Linked DNA regions of Coturnix japonica. The protein of the gene in region 1 purifies or fractionates together with the protein of each later gene. This does not show direct contact. Links are inferred from orthologs where the notes say so. Each region holds a gene or a part of one and is shown on either strand. Other genes may lie near its edges.

Region 1 (9,872 bases):
GTTATACCCGCTAGATAATAATGCTGCTTACTATTCACTACAGACACAAATGATGAGATATATTGCTTACTACCATTACTCTGAATTACAGCTTTAAGACTTACTGATACCACTTCATGGGCAGATCTCCTTTTCAAAAAATATCTACATTTCAAATCACAAACCCTCAGAGTGAATATACACACATGGAATCTTAGGAATGACAAATCATGTCCATGATACATTTTAAAAGACACAAGATAGAAACCTTTTAAACCAGTTTCTGGTTTGTGCTGTGACTCTTGAGTTAATAACATTTGCTCCATACAAAGATTTCGGAAACCGTGAACTTTTCCCTCTAACCCAGCCAAAGCTCATCTACAAATATTCTCTTTCCTATTGGCTCAGCAGCAGCACCCCTCCCCTCCACCATCAATGCTCTCAGACATGATCCCACCCACAGTCCCTCATATAAGGCCTGGTTGGAAATCTGTTTCTTAATTTCTGCTTTTTGGCCAGGGGTTGACTGTATCTCCTTCCCACAGTAGCAATGCCTGTGGATTTCAGTGGAACCTGGAACCTTGTCAGTAATGACAACTTTGAAGGCTACATGACAGCTTTAGGTAGGTGAAAAGACCTAATCCTATTCTCTCTTCCCCTTTGAGAGGCCTCCTACATTTTAATTCTTCTAAAACCTAGATACTGGGGTCTGGGAGGAGACCAAATGTTCAAGAACATGCCTAAACTGTGTAATATGTAACACCTCTGGGGGAGTGGAAATCCAAAACAAGAACAGCAAAACCAAATTTATATAGCAGAAATACTTCTGGAAGCAATACAGGTAAAGCCCAGCTGTCAGAACAGCCAGTGAGCAGCACGACTCAGTGTTTTCTTTCTTTTGTCAAAGGTATTGACTTTGCAACACGTAAGATAGCAAAAATGCTGAAGCCTCAGAAAGTGATCAAACAGGATGGTGATTCCTTTTCCATCCATACCACGAGCACGTTCAGAGACTACATGCTCCAATTTAAAATCGGTGAAGAGTTTGAAGAAGACAATAAAGGCCTGGATAACAGAAAATGCAAGGTAAGACTGAATAATTCAGAAATCAATGTGTTCTTACAGAAGGAAGATGCTGTAGTGAGCCTTGCTGAGCTGAAATTGATTCAGTAATACTATTTTTAACACAGTATAGGTGCAAGAGCCTGAGTTAGTGATTAAATTTTCACATTCCCTCAGCAACAGTATTTAATTTAGTTACATTTTATTAAGGAAGAAAGGATACTGCCTGCTAGATAGATTTCAGAACTGAGGTGACATGAACAAACACTTGGTTTCTTTTTAACAGAGCCTGGTTACCTGGGACAATGACAAACTTATCTGTGTCCAGGCTGGGGAGAAGAAGAACAGGGGCTGGACTCACTGGCTTGAAGGAGATGACCTCCATTTGGTATTTGATTTACTTCTGAATTGTCTCTGGGTGACAAAGAAAATGCAACTTATATTGTAGTCATAATGTGCAAGTTGTCTTCCACCTCAAGAGTACATGTAATAGAACATAAGGAACACGTTTTGCTTTCAGCTGCATCACAGAATTGCAGGGGTTGGAAGAGACCTCTAGAGATCATCAAGTCCAACCCTTGGCATAATTTCACTGTTCCATCCTTATTCATCTTGCACAGCCAAATGCAGAATGTTATGCATAACTTAGCACAGCAGCTCAGGGATGGTCGGTGGTCATGGCAGAAGATCTGTCTTCTCTTTTGGAGATGGTTCCTTTGGTTACTTTTCTGTTTGTTTGTTTTGTAGGAGCTTCGTTGTGAGAATCAAGTATGTAAGCAAGTGTTCAAGAGAGCTTAAATATCAGCATTGGTTCCAACACGGAAAGACAGCTCTATACAGGAGGCCATGTGATAACTGGAAACGCAAAACCTGACTTCTTTCTACCTAAATGGCTGATGTTTCTGGCTCAGGAAATATTATTTGTTGTTAGCAGTGTTAAAGACCCGATTTTTGCTAATAAACACAACAAACCATCTTAAATACCTGTCTTATGAATGAGTTTTGGAGGGGGGAAAAATCCCAAATCATAAGCAATAAGATGCTCTGTAATTAACTAGTCACCCAGATCACAGCAAGGACCATTTCCCCTTCCCTAAGGGTATAGCAAGATCAAACAAAACAGGAAGGACAGCTTAAACCTGTGTGACTCCAGGAATGGTAAAGTTAAGATTACAACCAAGGATGTAACTTTACTATTTCAGTAAATAGTAAAATGTCAGTATGTGAAATAATTGGATGCTATCAGCACATACAAAGAATAAAAATAATGCTGCTAAGATTTATTTGTATGTATTTGTTCCATTTGCTAACATACTTTTCTGTGCAACATCCACAAGGTCAGCAATGAGAAATAGGTTATATTCTACCTCATGTAAACAAGCAGCCAGACCAACCTGTTATATGTGTGAAATAAGCTGCTACATCTCCTGGGTAACACTAACAGCACTATTGCTAGAGTTTAATCCAAATTACTGAGCTTCAGCTAGATTTAATTAGCATTTTCTTCTTCACAGAAACTCAACTTATCCTTGATGCTCTCACAGATAAATAATATAACTCATTATTTAGGTAACTCTTCTTCGCTGTCAGCTCTGTTAAAGCTGGGAGAGCTTTTAATTAGATCAGTATCCCAGGGGACTCTAAAAGTAAGGTGGCTGGCTTCCAAAACATGAAATCCCAGTGCACCTTAGGGTCAGGGTGGGGACATTTGAAGGACCAGGAGTAAAACATGGAATTCATTTTCTGAATTCCAGTGGTGAATTCACTTTGGAACCGAGTGCTGCTTTTATTTGGTTGGAAACGAGATTTATGATACCATAGAACTCTAATACAAATAACACGGAGAGCAAACATTCTCTGTCACCTCTACCAGCACACTTCTGCAGTCACAGACTTTGCTACTCCATTAGATGGCACCACTGCAACAAAATGCATTCTTATTTAAACTGTAGTGATACTCAACAGCAGCACCTCCAGTGTTAAATACTGCAGATGTGTTCAAGTCACACAGCTTAAAAGAAAGGAAAGGAAAAGGAAAAAGAAGGAAAAGAAAAAAAGAAGGAAAAGAAAGGACTTTCTTTGCTAAGAAAGTGAACCAGAACCCCCTGACAGCTCCAGAACCCAAGGACAGGAACAGAACTCACCAGGAAGCCATTGGAATGGTGTTATTCTAATGTGTTTCTGCTCCATTATCTCACCACAGCTCGGATGGTGAAACCCTTCCAGCAACCTTTCGTTGTTTATCAGGCAGTGCCAGTGCTGAGGATGGGACTTTAAGATGTGTTGTCTGCACAGAGCAGTGTGTGGGTGGGTGAAAGGCTGTGTGCCCCTTTGGGACCTTACAGCCACAACAGACGGTGGGAATTCAAAAGAATCTCAGCTATTCTTTTGAATTCACATTCTATAGGACACGATTAAATACATGAGGAAGAAGAGTCACACAGGTGATAGATACATGGAGGTGTGAGGAGCAAGATCACAGACACCATGAGGGCTGCTGAGCTTTACTCAGAAGTGTCCACCTAAACATTAACTTAGAAGTTAACTTATTAAGTCTTATTAGAAGACATTTGTGAGTAGTTCCCTCATGATCCCCCACCTGTATTTCACAGCAGCGGGCACCCGTGAGAAAAGGAAAAGAATATTTTACACAAGAGCATCACTTCGAGGCATAACAAAAGCACACGATGCAGAAAAAGCTTGTGTTGTCCCACAGAAAGAAATCAAAATACCTCAGGTTCAAAGGACCCGGGCAGGAGTACGGCGGCAGACTCCATCCTCCCAGCTGCGGGCGGGCGGATGGACGGCCATCCCCTCACGGCCATCATCCCCTCAGCTCCTTCCCGCCCTTCATGCCGCCCCGCTCCCAAGGCGCCGCCATCCCCGCCCATCCCTCCGCCTCTCTCCCTTCCCCATTGGCCGCCGCCCCGCTCGGCCCGTCATGCCCGGCTCCCTCCGAGGCCTCATGTGACCCACCCCCAAGATGGCCGCCGCTGCCGCCCTCTTGTTTTGATGAATAATCTCTGCGCGGGGCAACGGGCGGGAGCTGAGGCCGAGGGACGCGGGAGGTTCCTCACAGGGAGCGGAGGGAGCCGAAGAGCGGGTGGGCTGCGGGCTTTGGGCCGGGGGCGGCGGAGCGGTCGGCTGCTGTTGGGCGAGGCGAGGCCGCCCCGGCGATGCCCTTGTGAGGCGCGGAGGCGGCCGGAGAGCGCTCCGAGGAGCTGCCCGTCGGCGGGGCGGAGGAAGGCACCCGCCCTCCGTTCGCGTTCACCATTAAGAGGAAGGCGATGGAGGAGCTGAGCGCGGACGAGGTGAGGCGGAGTGCCGGGGGGAGCGGGGCCCTGCGGTGCTGCCGTCCCGGCTGCTTCGTTTGGAGCGCTCCTTTGTGCTGAGCGCCGGCAATCCGTGCGCCTCATGGGTGTGATCGAATCCTTCTTTTATCCGTAGCGAAACGCTTAAAATATCGCTTTGTCAGAGCTGAGGAGCGAGGTGTGTGTGGGGACCGTGTGCCTGGTGCCGTTTGGTTTCCTCACGGTCACTGGGTTGCAGCCCTTAAGGCCGGGCCTGCTGAGGGAATAGCGCAGCTGCTTCTTATTGCCATGGAGGAGCCGGAGTGTGTCTGTGTGAGGACTCCTGTACACCTCCGCTTTGTTGTTTCTTAATGCTCCACCAGAGCGGAGTTAGGTGGTACAGAAAGCAGCATCCTCACTGGGGTGTTTGTGTCTCACTGGGGTGTTTGTGTCTCACTGAGGTGCTTCTGTGTCATGTTGTGTGTGAGATCTGTCTGAAAACCCCTCACCTGTCAGGTGAGAAAAGTAGCTGCACTTGAAATTAGCTGCCAGGCTCCTGGAGGTGAGGTTGTCTCCTTATACTGAGCTGTATAAAATGTGCAGGTAACAGATTTCATCTTCCAAAGACCAGAGATGAATACAGTTGAATGGTGTTGGGTCTGTAGGTTGTAGGTCAACTTCCCACTGCTTTCTCTGGGTTTACTTTGTTAAAGCACCAAAGGTGCTCTTCATTACAGCCCATACCAAAATCATCAGGGATCTGGGAGAAGCAAAAATCTTTTTTTTGGTGTTTATTTTAGTGTAAGTGCCAGATAACATCATGAGGATTGGGAACTGAATAGGAAATAGCAAAGTCAAGCCAGGTATGGCGTGAAGTGGGACAGAATGAGGTGAATTTGGTGTCTTGTGTATGGCTGTTGAGTAGCTCAAAGTTGTGCTGTCTGCCAATGGACCATGAGCAACATCCCCAGGAAATGAAGCATGCCTTAAGCTTGGTTAACACGTTGTAAGGATACAAATTACAAGCTGCAAAGAATTCCAATTACACTTTATTGGACCGAGGTGGGATTTCTCTCTGACTACAGAAGTAGAAACATTTTCCTTTAGAAGCTGATGAAGCAGTTCCTACTGAAACAGATGTTGGCTGTGGAATTATGTATAAATCTGAGCTGAGGTGTGTGAGCCCAAGGGAGCAGCTCTGCTGTGTGCTTCAGTTATCGGCTGCCTTGAGCAGGCTGCTATTTTTACATTGGATGTGGCAACATGTCCAGCTAACAGCTTTTTGGAAGCCCATTAAGATCACAAATATATTTCTGAATGTTACTACCCCAAGAATGTATCAAGTAAGAACTGTGCTAATTAATAACACGATTCATAACCTTTTCCATTCAACCAATTAGATTCTTAACTCTGTGTTATGGTGGAGGGAAGGTAGCTTATGGAACAAACTGTGCTGATGTAGTAATTGGTACCAAACAACTTCTTGTTGGGCAATGCAATGACACAGCGCTTGTCTTAGGTTGCTGTTGCAAGGAGTGCTGCTGAAATGCAGGGTTAGGCGTTGTGGAGGGTATCTTAAACGCTCCTAATAAAATAATTAATCTACAAAATCCCCACGTGTTACCCCGTGGCGCTGTGGTTAGTCATGCAATCCGAAGTGAAGCCGGGTCGCTTTGACTTTGAACTCCTGCAGCTCTGACACGCTCTTTGTGCTACGTGGAGGCAGCGGGCTGCAGCCCAGCGCTGTGCAAACACTGCGTCCTGCAGGCCCAGCACGAGGCCCATGGCACTGTGCCGTCCCCATTGCACATCCTGGCCCATGCAGTGTCCAGGCACAAGTGGATGAACCAGACAGAAGGAATCCATCAGTTCCATGCTGTCCTTCCATGCTTCTGTTTCAGCTTGTGGCTTTGCCTTTCTAGCATAGCATCGTTGTTTCTTTGCCCCTTTTTCCCCACTTAAGTCTCTTAATTTTCAGATCAAATTTCAAGTTTCCTTGAAAACGTAGAGGATTATGATGACCTGGGGCATCAGAGCAGCCAAACCTGGTTCTTTATCAGTCAGAGAAATGCGTCTCTTTTGGTATACTCTTTTGGTATAATACTCTTTTGATATTGGCGTTGGTTGATGATTTGTCATTCCTAAATGGGTAGTGAAATTCTGGGGTTGGTTTGAATTGCTGAATTTTATCTAAAAGCATCCCAATGTCCAGGAGGTTTCTTTGTTACGTTCCCTTCTTCAGAAACTTCTTCAGGGCAGGTTACGGTCTGGAGCTTTGGTCTGTGTGAAGGGTCAGTGCTTCATGGACTAGAGGTGAAATGAGTGACCTCGTGTTTGAATAACATTGACCACAGCTGGTTGTGCCATAGCTCTGGTGGTGGCATTGCCTGCTGCTGTAGGTGAAGAAGTGTAGAGTGGCACAACCAGCTTATTAACCAACAACTCACTTGTTTGCTTGAAGCTGGGAGGTGATGTAGAGAAGATTTGTGCAAATCAAACCTTGTGAGGCATGTGGCCTCGATTGAATCATCAAGGTCTGACCGTGTTTGAGAATAAGTGTATACATTTCTCGGTTAACATGAAGCTTTGGGTGTATTTGTCTGTGCCTCTCTCTCCTGATACAGTTCCAAATCTGACGTCTGATTTAATTTGATCTGTTCTTCCTCCTCTTGGAGTAGTTTTCACAGACCATTATGTGACTGCAGCGATGTCTCCTAGACATGGACTTGACACAGATTTTTCTTCACTCTTTAACTTCCCCAGCAATTCATCAGGATTGCGAGCAGAAATGCAAACAGGAATTACACCAGTGCTTGGGGATATCAATACCAATAGGGAATAACATGAATAGCTCACTTGTGTCGGGAGCAGACACCCTCAGATGCTTTTACTCCATGCTTGTTTTCTTTGTACCAGAAGCTTTTGTATCAGATTCTCTGAGGCAGCCTGTAATTATGGATAATTCCTTCTGTATTTTCATTTTTTGCTTAAGGTTTCATGGCTCTCAAATACAAGTTTTGTGAGCTTTATCTTTTATCAGCATCATGTGGTCATGAACAAGCTTTGATAAATATGTTCATAATAGTTTTCCAAGGGCAAATACTGCTCTGCCCTACTAGTAATGTGAAAACTGACCAAACTCCATTTGGTCAGACTGCTCCAGGTAATGGCAGGTTGCTATTGGCTGTCTTCATTTGCCTCTCAAGATGCTCCTGCCCAGCAGGTGACAAGTAGGGTAGATTTCTAGTGTTGCAGAACTGTCTCAGATAGTATTGCATACAGTCTTCTCTTAACAATATTCAATTGGATCATCTTAAGCAGAATTTTGTTATTAGGGGTTGTGTGGTGTGAGATGAAGGTAAAGGTCGTGTTCCTTTTAGCCCTTTTATCAGATTAACACAGTTTGTTTAATCAAATGCCAAAAGAAATCAGGAGGTGTGTTAGAGGTTTTGAAACTGCTGAGCAGTAAATATTAAACCGGTCTTACACAACTGTTAGAGGGATGGACGCAGAATTCTCCAGTGCCATTTAGGGAATACTGTGCCATTTAGGAGACCCAGGGATGGAAAACTATGGAGTATGTTTGAATGTATGTGCAAATCAGTTTTTCTGTTTGTTTGATGTCCTTTGTGCAGATCCGTCGAAGGCGCCTTGCCCGGCTGGCAGGGGGACCATCGTCCCAGCCCAGCACACCACTCACATCGCCGCAGAGAGAGACCCCACCTGGGCCACCTGCAGCAGCTCCAACCCCTGGGCCATCCCATAGTCTCGGCCTAAATGTCCACAGCATGACCCCAGCTACCTCACCAATAGGTGCATCAGGTAGGCTGGCCTTTGGGGCAGCAACGATTATTGCCTGTGTGTCGGGTGTTATTGTGTGACCCCTCACATTCAGAGCATGAATGCTGTTATTGCCTCTATTTCTGCTGTCGTAAAAATGACATTCTGAAAGGAACATTCTGAATTGGTCACTGAAGGTGCTCAAGTCTTCATTTTACCAAATAGAAATGGATTGTTAAAATTCTTCTCTGGGCATCAGTAAAACTAAGGAGAATATTTGAAGTCACCAAAGCTGGTTGAATGTAATGCACTTTTCTATTGGCAAGAAGTACAGTAGGAAAGCCAGCCTCTTCTCCTTGATAAAAAGTGATTTCAGTCTCGCAAGAGAATTTTTATTGATTGACTCCTACGTTCATTTTTGCCATGTTCATTTATGATCTTTAATTACTGGCGTTTGGCACAATTAAAAGTAGTGGGCTGTGACTGTGCATTATCAATGTGAGAATGAAGTGCTGCTCTCTTTGTGTTGCAGTATTTTTGAAAAGATGAAAGTTTTCCCAATTCCAGTATTAACTGCAGTGAGGACAAGTAGGATATTTACAAATAGCAGTTACTTCAGACCATATGAAGCTCCTTGTCTATTAAATTCAAATACAGAAAGTATGCAAGGTTGGGAGGGTGTGAGGTGTCTGGAAGGGGCTGCTTTCTGCGTATTTTGTTGCCTTGTATCCAGAGCAGGCCAGAGAAAAGCTACCAAAAGCATTTCCTGGGCAAATCTGGTACAGTTGGAATTTAACACTGCGTATTGTCGTCGTGATCATAGGCAGCAACCCAGAAGCAAAGATGTCTTTATTTATTTTGCAAATAGTACAGAGTTCACTTACCATGTTCACTCAGCCTGTGGTTACGGAACTATTTTAATCCCTCTTAGGTCTGACTCTTGCTGAAAGGAGCCTTTCTCTCTGCCTCTCCCCCTGATGTCAGTAGCAAATGTGTGGTGAGGACTTAATCCAGGTGGACACTAACCCGCAAAAAATGTTAGTTAGTTTTCAAGCACACACACAATTGTATAAGCGCTAATGCCAACAAAACTGGAGGTGTGGAAGCACGTACCTGAAGGTAGAAATGTTCATGATCTGGCAGACTGGTTTATTCTGGTTAGAAGTTGTTGGACAGTCAAGACCTCAGAGACTTCTGTTGTAAGTGGATTCATCTGTCTGCATTGGACAGTTGCTAATTGCACAGATAAAACTGTGATCACAAGAAACAGAAGGTATCCAGGCAGTGGATTGCTTGTTTCCTGTAGTGCCAGTCATTGCAGCAATTCAGTAATGTGTATTTCTTTGCACATCACAATCAGGGATATGGTTAAATTGGGGGAATAAATCAAGAAGAAAGTGTTTGTAACTGATTATCTGCTGAATTTATTTAGCGTAAATGAGGACTTGGCTAACACTGAGTGCCTTGCAGGAGTTCCTTTGCAGTAGTAGACTAAAATGACTGCAGAGGATTTTAATTTATTTGGACATACAGAAAACAGCCCCAGCAGAACAATGTCCTTGCAAGCATCAATTTTTATATGAAGTTGTATGGGATCAGACTCATACATCAATTCCATGGAATGTGTGCTCAATTATTTCATGTGACATTTTTAAAGTACTTTGGAGATCCTAGAAATAGTGTTTCAATGACAGCCCCACATACTGGGCCTGTGATCTTCATAACTTCTGCATGCTACTGTGCTTGCATTTATGGTTGTTG
Region 2 (10,043 bases), on another chromosome or scaffold:
TAATGTCTTAACTGCTGTTTTTTGCCACTGCTTTTCCTAAGGAGAGTGAGAAAAGAGTGAAGGAGAGATCGCTGCAGCCTGAAACACAGCGAAGCACAGAGCAGCTCCTGCCCCCACTTACAGAGCTGCCCCCTGAGCCCTTCCAATGGTTTCCCTTTGATTTCCCCAGCCAAAGGACCCCCAAAGCACACACAGATCCCTGTTGTGAGGCAGCACTTAGGCTGCTCTTGGACAAACAGCACCAAAACACGGCACAGCTCTGCTCTCCAGCTCCCAGCGAGATGACTACGCCTTTATCACCCAACACTGGGAGCAGCCCCTGCCTGCAGGACCTGCTGACAAAGACGGTCTTGCTTAGCTTCTGCTTTTTTTAATGTAAGAAGATGCTCAAGCCGATCTCCCTCGCTGCCCTTCAAGGTTCACGGGTATCAAAATACAGCCGGGTGGGAGAAACAAAGGCAGGCAAACCACAAACAAGCCAGGCAGCCTCCTGGCCACCTCCCCCATCCATGCACTGTTTACAACCAGCACCGACTCAGACCAACCCAAATCAAGCACCTGAGAAAGCAACTGCTCTGCTAACATCCATTTTCAAATCGGTTCTATTTCTTCCTAAAACAAATCCCCCAGCAGACGCCTATTTAGAAGAGGAAGCTTCCATCCTCACTTAACTTCAGGGCTTCTCCCAGACGCTGTGAGCGATCTCCTTGTGCAAAGTGCTTCTTTGCTCAACTCTTTCATCCCTGTGCTACCCAGCAGCTCGTCACCAGCATGAAAAACCTCCTCTTTTTTTATCTCACTCAATCATACGACAGCTTGCGAGTGCAACAACAGAGAGTGGATTAGCAGTCAGCAGCAACAAGGCATTACCTGGCAGCTGAATGCAACCTCAGGTTTCTCAGGCACAATGCAGCACCTGGCCCAACCCCACGCTCGTCTCCAGCAAAGCCACCAGGCGCATGTTGCAAGAGGAACCATAAAGGGGGGTGCAGCCTCATGGTAACGAGTGAGGCGAGCAAACACAGCTCGGGTGCAGCACGCCCTGGTATGCGGCCGCCCTGAGCGTCCCCGACCTGTGACAGGTTGGAGCAAGATTTATGCAGAAATAAGGGCTCGGAACACTGCACCAACCTCGGGAGCTGGAGGCTGGATGGGGAAACACGCCCTAAGCAAGCAGCTAAGTTACAGGGGGAAACAGGAGGCTTTAAGGCGAGAGGGAGACGCGGATCGGGTGCTATATAATGGGGAGGAAGCCGGGGAGGGCTGCGGCGTGGCAGCACCGCGAGCTTTCACGCCCCATTTGCGGCTATTTACCGACTTCCCGGCGCTCCGCCGGCCGAGGTGGGGGGGTCTGATTATCAGGCCCCGACACGCCGCCCTTTGTAAGGGGGCAATAGGAGCTCTTTAACTCCATCCCCTCCTCAGAGCGTCCCAACCAACCTCTACCAACAAAGCTGGGGCGGCACAACGAGCCCCGGGCACCTCAAAGCCCGGATCCCAACCCCTCAAAGCACCGATTGGGGCCGGGACGGAGCGGCCCACAGCCCCTATTCCCCCCCACAGCCCCTATTCCCCCCCACAGCCCCCTCTGCCCCCCCACAGCCCCTACTCCCCCCCACAGCCCCTGCTCCCCCCCCCACAGCCCTTCACACCACAACGGCCGCTGCCCTCCACCCCCGTACCCCCATTACCGGCCTCAGAACGGCCCTAACCGCCCCCCTCCCAGCTCAGAGCCTCCTGGCGAGGCTCGGTGCCCGTTACCTGCGGCAGGCCCCTGGTATCTGTGCGGTGATTGCCGGCCCGCTGTGCTGGCTCTGCCCGCAGCTCAGCCCGCAGCTCGGCCGCTGCCCGCCCCGGGCCGCCCCGCCTCAGCCCGGCCGGAAACGGCGCGAGGGGGGGGCGGGGCCAAGTACCGGAAGTAACGCCTCACTTCCGGGTACGGGCCCAGAGACAGAAAGGAAGGGCGAAGCCGGAAGTGGAGAGAAAGAGGCGGGAGGGAAAGGAGATAACGTTAGCCAATTGGAATGGAGAATTGGGAATTCACTTCCGGTTCCGGGGATATAAAAGAGGGAGCGCGGGGTGGGGCCGAGCATTCGCGGGTGAGACAGCATTGGGTGGGGTCGTGGTACAGGTGAGAGCTGAGGTGATGCCGGGCCTTTGCGTTGTGATTTGTGTTATAGCTGCTTTCTTTGTGCCTTTTACCTTTGGAAGTGTGGGGGAGGATGCTCCGTGCGGGGGTCGTCCTTTGTTCCCTTGGGTGTGGGAGGGAGGGGCTGCCTAACATCACTGAGGGGAGGGAGGAGGCCTTGGCGGGCCTGTGGCTCTTGGCATCCCTTTAGTGGAGGCCAAATAGCTGCTATGGCCATAGACCGTGCCCTTCTATCCCTATAGGGGCACGTTTCCTAGTCATCTCAGGGACGGTGCATTATCTCTTTATGTATTTCTAGTGCACGGTGTTGGATATCTGTCCCCTTGATGGCTTGTTTCTTAGTGTGATCACCTCTTTGTCCTCTTTCACCCCAGGCCTAATCATGGCAGATGAGGAAATTGCTGCCCTGGTGGTGGACAATGGCTCTGGTATGTGCAAGGCAGGCTTTGCAGGGGATGATGCTCCCCGGGCTGTGTTCCCTTCCATCGTGGGACGCCCCCGGCATCAGGGTGTCATGGTTGGGATGGGGCAGAAGGACAGTTATGTGGGGGATGAAGCCCAGAGCAAGAGGGGTATTCTCACCCTGAAGTACCCTATTGAGCACGGCATCGTCACCAACTGGGATGACATGGAGAAGATCTGGCACCACACCTTCTACAATGAGTTGCGTGTTGCTCCGGAGGAGCACCCCGTCCTGCTCACTGAGGCCCCGCTGAACCCTAAAGCCAACCGGGAGAAGATGACCCAGATCATGTTTGAGACCTTCAACACTCCAGCTATGTACGTGGCCATCCAGGCTGTGTTGTCTCTTTATGCCTCCGGTCGCACCACTGGCATTGTCATGGACTCTGGGGATGGTGTCACCCACACGGTGCCCATCTATGAGGGTTATGCTCTGCCCCATGCCATCCTGCGTCTGGACTTGGCCGGCCGTGACCTGACTGATTACCTCATGAAGATCCTGACAGAGAGAGGCTATAGCTTCACCACCACGGCTGAGAGGGAGATCGTCCGTGATATCAAGGAGAAGCTGTGCTATGTGGCTCTAGACTTTGAAAATGAGATGGCAACTGCTGCCTCCTCCTCCTCTCTGGAAAAAAGCTATGAGCTTCCTGATGGCCAGGTCATCACCATTGGAAATGAACGTTTCCGCTGCCCAGAGACTCTCTTCCAGCCATCCTTCTTAGGCATGGAGTCGTGCGGCATCCACGAGACCACCTTCAACTCCATCATGAAGTGCGACGTGGACATCAGGAAGGACCTGTATGCCAACAACGTCATGTCTGGGGGTACCACCATGTACCCAGGTATTGCTGACAGGATGCAAAAGGAGATCACAGCCTTAGCACCCAGCACCATGAAGATCAAGATCATCGCCCCACCGGAGCGCAAGTATTCAGTCTGGATCGGCGGCTCCATCCTGGCCTCCCTCTCCACCTTCCAGCAGATGTGGATCAGCAAGCAGGAATATGATGAGTCTGGCCCCTCCATCGTCCATCGCAAGTGCTTCTAGAGGGGCTGCTGGCAGTCACCCGGGGTGCCCCCACAATGGGGCAGGCGTGGGAGGAGGTGTTGCAGGCTTGTCCTTGGGAGCTCTCCCTTCAGCTTGGACCAGTATTGTTTGACTGTTACTTATGTTACGTTCTAATTTGTTGAGGTACTGAGTAGTAACATACAGTGTGCATTTAAATGGCCTTGCTCCAGTTCGGACCAGTTCATGACTAGAGAGAAACAGCAGCTGTGGTTCTGGGGCAGCAAGTAGATAAGGAGTTGTTCACGTTCCCTATGTTAACACTAACAGGATGCCACTAAAGTAGGTCCGTCACCTTTAGGTTTGTCACATCTGACTTGTTTGTAGGAAAGCAAATAAACTTAGGCTGAAAAGTATCCAGAGTCTTTTGCTTTCTTTCAGGGTGGGTGTGAGGGCTTAGACCCAGTGCTGGACTTGAGCTGTTTGCAGCAAACACAGTGACCCAATGCAAAGCTTGCAGTGTGAACCGGCTGCACGCAGACCATTTTAAGAGCTATTAAGGGTAAAACCTTGGCTGGTATGCAGCCCTTGCAGCCCTTCTGGACTTTCATGGTAACTTGGCTTTATTTAGAACCAATTCCTGTTGGAAAAGAGCGCTGGCACAGGTTTTGTGATGAGAGGAGCCTCTCCTTATTTGGGAGGGTGACAAGATGTGGCAGTAAGTGCCCAGAGCTGCTCAGCCTAAGGAATGGGGTCCCTCTTGCTGTAGCAAGCCGGCACCCAACACTCTCTTCACCCCCCCCCCCCTCCCCACGCCCCCATAGGAGGCAAGTGAGCCAGCGCTGCCGCCCTCCCCCTTTTAAACCCTCAGCCGGCCGCTCATTGGCTCGTTGTGCCACCTCGTCGGCAAGCCGGCCAATCGGTGGCGTCCTCTTCCCACACCAAGCAGACTACATTTCCCAATGCGCACCGCGCTTGAGGACTCACTTCCGTTTCCGGCGTGATGCAGGAAGAGAGACGCTTAATGGCGGCCTAGGCGGGTGGGTTGTGTGTGTTCGGAGATGGCCGTGTCCGAGTGGCACATCGCGGTGAAGCTGGCGGACCAGCCCTTGGCCCCCAAATCCATCTTACGGTTACCTGAGACCGAGCTCGGGGAGTGCCCGCTGGGGGGGTGCAGCATCTCCCACCTCAAGCAGCTGATCACCGGGAAACTGCAAGAGTCCGTCCCGGACCCCGAGCTCATCGGTAGGTGCGAAGGCTGCGGCCTAGTCCGGCCTATCTATTAGTGCTGCGGCCTGGTCAGGCCTCCTATTAGTGCTGCGGCCTAGTGCGGCCTCCCTGTTAGTGCTGCGGCCTAGTCCGGCCTCACTTAGTGCTGCGGCCTAGAGAGGGAGGGAGCAAGATGAAGGGAGGGAGCAAGATGAAGCTTTATGGCTCTTTGCATTGTGGTTTTCGTGTGTTGTGTTAAGCTGTGTGCATGCAGAGCAATGTCTTAAGGAGCACGGGCTCTTTCTGAGTGTGCTGTATGTGTTTGTTTTCTTTATAGATCTGATCTACTGTGGCCGTAAGCTGAGGGATGACCAGACGCTTGATTTCTATGGCATCCAATCTGGTTCCACCGTTCACGTCCTGCGCAAGTCCTGGCCTGAGCCTGATCAGAAACCAGGTGAGGAGGAGATGGTGCAGATTGCATTGAGCATGAGGAGCTGCTGCTCTGTTTCTAGGAGCACAGCATGAGGTTTGGAGGTGGAACTGATCTGCTTGTTTGCACTCAAAGCAGTTAATGGGCATTACTCTTATCTTGCTGATGTATGGAATGAAAAGACATTAAAGATCATCAAGTCCAGCTGCAAGCTGAACATCCCTTCTTTAAGTAGCTCTGATCAATCTTAGTGTTGCTAGAGAATCAGAATCCAAGTGTCTCATTAGTAGAGCCTTATGTGTGTCGGGCTATAGAGTCTTAGTGTTGCTAGAGAATCAGAATCCAACCATCTCATTAATAGAGCCTTATGTGTGTCAGGCTATAGAGTAAAAATGACCAGTTTTAGAATTATTTCAGTGTATTTCCTTTTATGTGTGTAGGAGTATATGCTCTTCTATGTCTGGAAGTTAGGAATGTGGCCATAGCCCTTGGTGGGCAGTTGCTTGTTAAGCTGGAGTAACAGCACTGGGACAGTTGTGATCTGTATCCTTCCTTCCAATTGAATTCAGGAGGACTAAAGAATCATTGTTGCTACTGCAGCTGGGAGGTACAAGGAGGGTGTAAAATGGCTTGTGAAGCTGACAGAGGGAGGAGCATGTTTTGATCTGTTCTTTTTCTTTCCTCAGAGCCAGTAGACAAAGTGGCAGCGATACGGGAGTTCCGTGTCCTTCACACAGCCCTACACAGCAGTCCTGCTTACAGAGATGCGGTGAGTGGGACTTTGTACATCACCACCTTGGTGTCTTTTATCTGACCCCCTCTCTAAGGAAAGACCCTCACTGAAACCTTGCCGTGTGACACTGCTGATTGATTCTGATTTCTCTTGCAGGTGTTCAAAATGCTGGGGAACAAGGAGTCATTGGATCAGATCATTGTTGCTACTCCTGGCCTTAGCAGTGACCCAGTTGCTTTGGGTGAGTCCAGGTGTTACTCAGAGGGCCTGGAGAAAGCCAGATGAGGATGGCTTTAAAATAAAGCAAATACAAGATAAGTTAAACACTGAATCCTTTCTGAAAGTGTTTAGTTTCTCATGTGGGGTGTGATCTCAATCTCATGCAGCCATCTGGGGTGAGCTGGGTGCCAGACTCGATCCTGCCTTAAAGTAGAGGCTGCCTGCACTGAAACACAGCCTGTGGGATCTGCTGGGGAAGCCCTGTGTCTGGTGGGTGTGGCTGTGATTTAGTCTGTCTAAGAAGGCACAAAAGGTTTCTGAGAACAATAATAGAGTATTTCTGGTGTCTTTTCATGACTCGTTTCCTGAAAAACAACTAATTTGCTTTTTTTCCCATGGTTGGACTGGCTCCTATATGTCTCGTATCCTGTCTCTTATTGGTCATGTTTCCTGGTCTCTCCCAGGCGTCCTGCAGGACAAGGATCTCTTCTCAGTGTTTGCAGACCCCAACATGTTGGACACGTAAGTTCATATAAGCTGGCACGGTGACTAAGCAGCTCCTTTGTTGTAATCCTGTATTGGTCACTTCCCTCTGGGTGGGAAAAAGCATTCTGCTGCTGTCTGCCAGTACAGTTACACCAGGACAGAGATCTGAGGAGGGTCTAATCTTCCTTAGCATTAGATGCTTCAACATAGTATCTGTATAACATGTATCTGTTGACATAGTGGAAGCAGGCTCATTCTCTCCTCCAGATCTGGTAGCTCACAGCAGAGAGTTGCTCCATGAGAGCATGTGGGAGATGTGTACAATGGGAGGGCCAGCATGGGATCAAGATGGATCCCTGACTTGTCTGGCTCTGTGGGGAGGTGTTTGTTGTTGGATAGCTAAAGGTAATATCAGATCGAGATGGTGTTGGCTCAACTAGTGAGAGTGGTTCTGCCATTCTTGCTGTAAGTTCACTAGCATCAAGCCATTCCTTCCTTAGTTTCTCTGTATACACAATTTGTTCTTCCACCCTGTCTCTCCAGGTTAATACCGGCTCACCCTGCACTTGTGAATGCCATTGTCCTTGTCCTGCACTCGGTGGCAGGCAGCACCCCACTCCCAGCCCCAGAGACATCCTCCCGTGGCATGTCCTCTGGCTCCTACCGTGACATGCCGGGTACGTTCAGCCTGTGGCCATGCAGATGTGAGAGGGAGCTGCAGAGATGATGTGCTGCAGGATCTGTTACAGGCAAATCAGTATTTTACTGGTGCAGGGATGAAATAGAAAAGTGGTCTGGGCACCTGAGCTTGTGGTTTGACAGAATACACTGAGAGAGGCTTATCTGGTGTAGTTCAACCTCAGGGCCTCTCTGAGCTGTGTGTGTACCACCACTGTTGGTAGCAAATAGATGTGGCCTCTGTTTTGCACAAGTGATGGGCCTGAGCTGTCTTGTGTTGACCTGTTGCAAGTGAACTTGTTAGTGCTGAGCTCGGCTGTGCGAGCAAAGCCTCCACTGGATTCTCATCTGGTGTTCTGCATCTTGTTGAATCATCTCTCTATCACAGGTGGCTTTCTGTTTGAAGGTCTCTCTGATGATGAAGATGACTTTCACCAGGTAATTCACAGGCTGGATTGGGTGGAACAACTATTTTGGATTTGTGGTAATGGTTTTAACTTTGTAGCTCTTAAAGTCTCTAAAGCACATGAGCCACATGGTAATGGGACGTGTCCACTGACAGCAGATGCCTGTTTTCTCCATGCAGAGCACAAGGTCAACACCATCCAGCAGCACTTCTGGTTCTCGCCCAGCTTCCCTTGGTTACTCTGGGGCTGCTGGACCACGACCAATTACCCAGAGTGAGCTGGCAACTGCATTGGCACTGGCCAGCACACCAGAGAGCAGCTCCCACACACCAACTCCTGGTACCCAGGTACAGCACCAGCTGGGGCTGTCCTCCTGCCCTGTAAAGCCAGCACTTGACTGAGTGCAAGCCCTGTGTGGATCTGGGTTCCTGCAGCAAGTGCTCTTCTGAGTTGTATACAACTTGTCTCTCTCACTAGGGTCACTCCTCTGGGACCTCCCCTATGTCATCCAGTGTCCAGTCAGGAACACCCATCACCAACGACCTCTTCAGCCAGGCCTTGCAGCATGCCCTGCAGGCCTCAGGGCAGCCCAGTCTGCAGGTCAGTATCTAGGCCTCCTCTTCTTTTGGGAACCTGTGAGAAAGCTCCTTATCACACTCAGCACTGCAGGGTAGAGGTGGCTCTTCCAGCTATCTCCTGTGGCTGGACTTTAGGTTGGAAGGAGTGTGACTGGTGAAGAGCTTTTTTAGGTGGCATGATAGATGTGTGCAGAAGGACTGGATGGAGGTGGGAGAGAGGGAAATGGGAGAGGTGTGCTGGTGGGTTTAGGGTGTTACCAACAGGACTTAAAACTTTCAAGACCTGTTTGCACACTTGGAATTGTGCTTGTGATCTAGAGAGATGGGAGTAACCAGCATGGTGGAGTGGGCTTTGGAGAAGGCTGTTTTTTTTTTTTACTGCTTGGACTCTTGCACTTACCCTTAGCTTCTTTTGTTTCCTGTTTGTAGAGCCAGTGGCAGCCACAGCTTCAGCAGCTACGAGACATGGGTATACATGATGATGAACTAAGTCTCCGGGCCCTGCAAGCTACTGGAGGGGACATTCAGGCTGCCTTAGAGCTTATCTTTGCTGGTGGGGCTCCGTAGCTCTGGGCAGGAGGGGCTGGACCACCATGTGGCACTGCTATTCCTTGGTCTGGGACTCAACCCCAAAGCTCTCTAGGGAATGGAGCAGCTGAAGTGGCTGCTTCTATCCGTGCAGGTGGGTTGTGGGCTCCTGTTTGAGAGCACGGGGCAATCTGAGGACAGTTCCTCCAGCTCCTGTGATCTCTCTCCAGCCTTCTCCTCATTCTGACCACCATTATTGAGACCTCAAAGCCTTGATCAGCACGGATTAAAACGCAACTGTGTGTGCTGGGAAGATGTAGCACGGTTCTGCAGTTAGATCTGGTGACCTGCTGTACTATCGCCTGCTGTTTCATTCCTGCCCACCTGGCACGTCTCCTTTTGCTGTTGTGGTCTCTCCCTGTGTTTGACTGTATTAAATGGACTGTATCCACTTGCCTGTTGTTTGTGATCTGTGCTGTCTTAGATTCCACATCTTCAAGGCAGCACGTGTTTGTTGCATCGCAGCTGGACGTGGTCTGCCTGTTATAGGACTGTTATTTCAGCAGAGGGCACTCCTCTTGCAGAACAAGCTGCTGGCTATGGCCATGAGCTGCCCGAAGACCACTGTGTTGGGATTGAAGCTGATCTTCCCAGTCTTCCTCCTTTAATTAGGCCTGTAAAGAACTCATTGTGCTGTGGATGCTTGCTGAGAAGGTGGCCCAAAGAGCATCTCGTCTCCTTTTCAGCAGCAATGTTTCTATATTCTACTGGGCAAAGCTTTTTGCAGTGCTGCAGGAACAAAGGTGCAGGAGTTCACGGCCACCACAAGGTGACAGTAGAAATGTAACAGGGTCGAGGCAGGTGCTGAAGATTGCAGGGTACTGCTAATGACTGAATGGGAGAGGCACATTGTTCTGAGCTGGTTTGTTGGGTTGTAGTGAATATTTTCCAATGTATCTTCTAGTTCTGGGTGTCACGTGTGAAGTTCTCAGGAGCTGCCTACAAAGGCAATCAAATGCTTGTAATTATTTGGTGGAAGCTGAGATGAATTGGAGCCAGAGGTAGAGCTGGCGTCGCTCTGAATGTACCATCAAGACTGACAGAGCATGAAAATAGGAGCTGGTTCGTCTGAAATGCCACCATGTGACACTA

The links.
Region 2: the proteins of UBE4B (region 1) and UBL7 purify together in Homo sapiens (affinity purification with mass spectrometry; 3 studies listed by BioGRID and IntAct, counting the BioPlex papers as one, with this or other methods). This does not show direct contact. The link is inferred for Coturnix japonica from reciprocal best matches to the Homo sapiens genes UBE4B and UBL7.

What each region holds. Positions count from the first base shown.
Region 1 is NC_029536.1:3,055,087-3,064,958, forward strand, and holds the start of UBE4B (ubiquitin conjugation factor E4 B), read left to right. Parts: upstream 1-3,994; 5' UTR 3,995-4,328; coding exon 4,329-4,352; intron 4,353-7,966; coding exon 7,967-8,153; intron 8,154-9,872. Other genes in the region: RBP7 (retinoid-binding protein 7), read left to right, coding at 530-602, 887-1,065, 1,328-1,429, 1,789-1,839. UniProt on the Homo sapiens protein: Ubiquitin-protein ligase that probably functions as an E3 ligase in conjunction with specific E1 and E2 ligases. May also function as an E4 ligase mediating the assembly of polyubiquitin chains on substrates ubiquitinated by another E3 ubiquitin ligase.
Region 2 is NC_029525.1:1,828,306-1,838,348, forward strand, and holds UBL7 (ubiquitin-like protein 7), read left to right. Parts: upstream 1-4,605; 5' UTR 4,606-4,681; coding exon 4,682-4,865; intron 4,866-5,166; coding exon 5,167-5,286; intron 5,287-5,948; coding exon 5,949-6,031; intron 6,032-6,151; coding exon 6,152-6,236; intron 6,237-6,678; coding exon 6,679-6,736; intron 6,737-7,243; coding exon 7,244-7,377; intron 7,378-7,766; coding exon 7,767-7,816; intron 7,817-7,964; coding exon 7,965-8,132; intron 8,133-8,262; coding exon 8,263-8,385; intron 8,386-8,792; coding exon 8,793-8,930; 3' UTR 8,931-9,346; downstream 9,347-10,043. Other genes in the region: actin, cytoplasmic type 5, read left to right, coding at 2,532-3,662.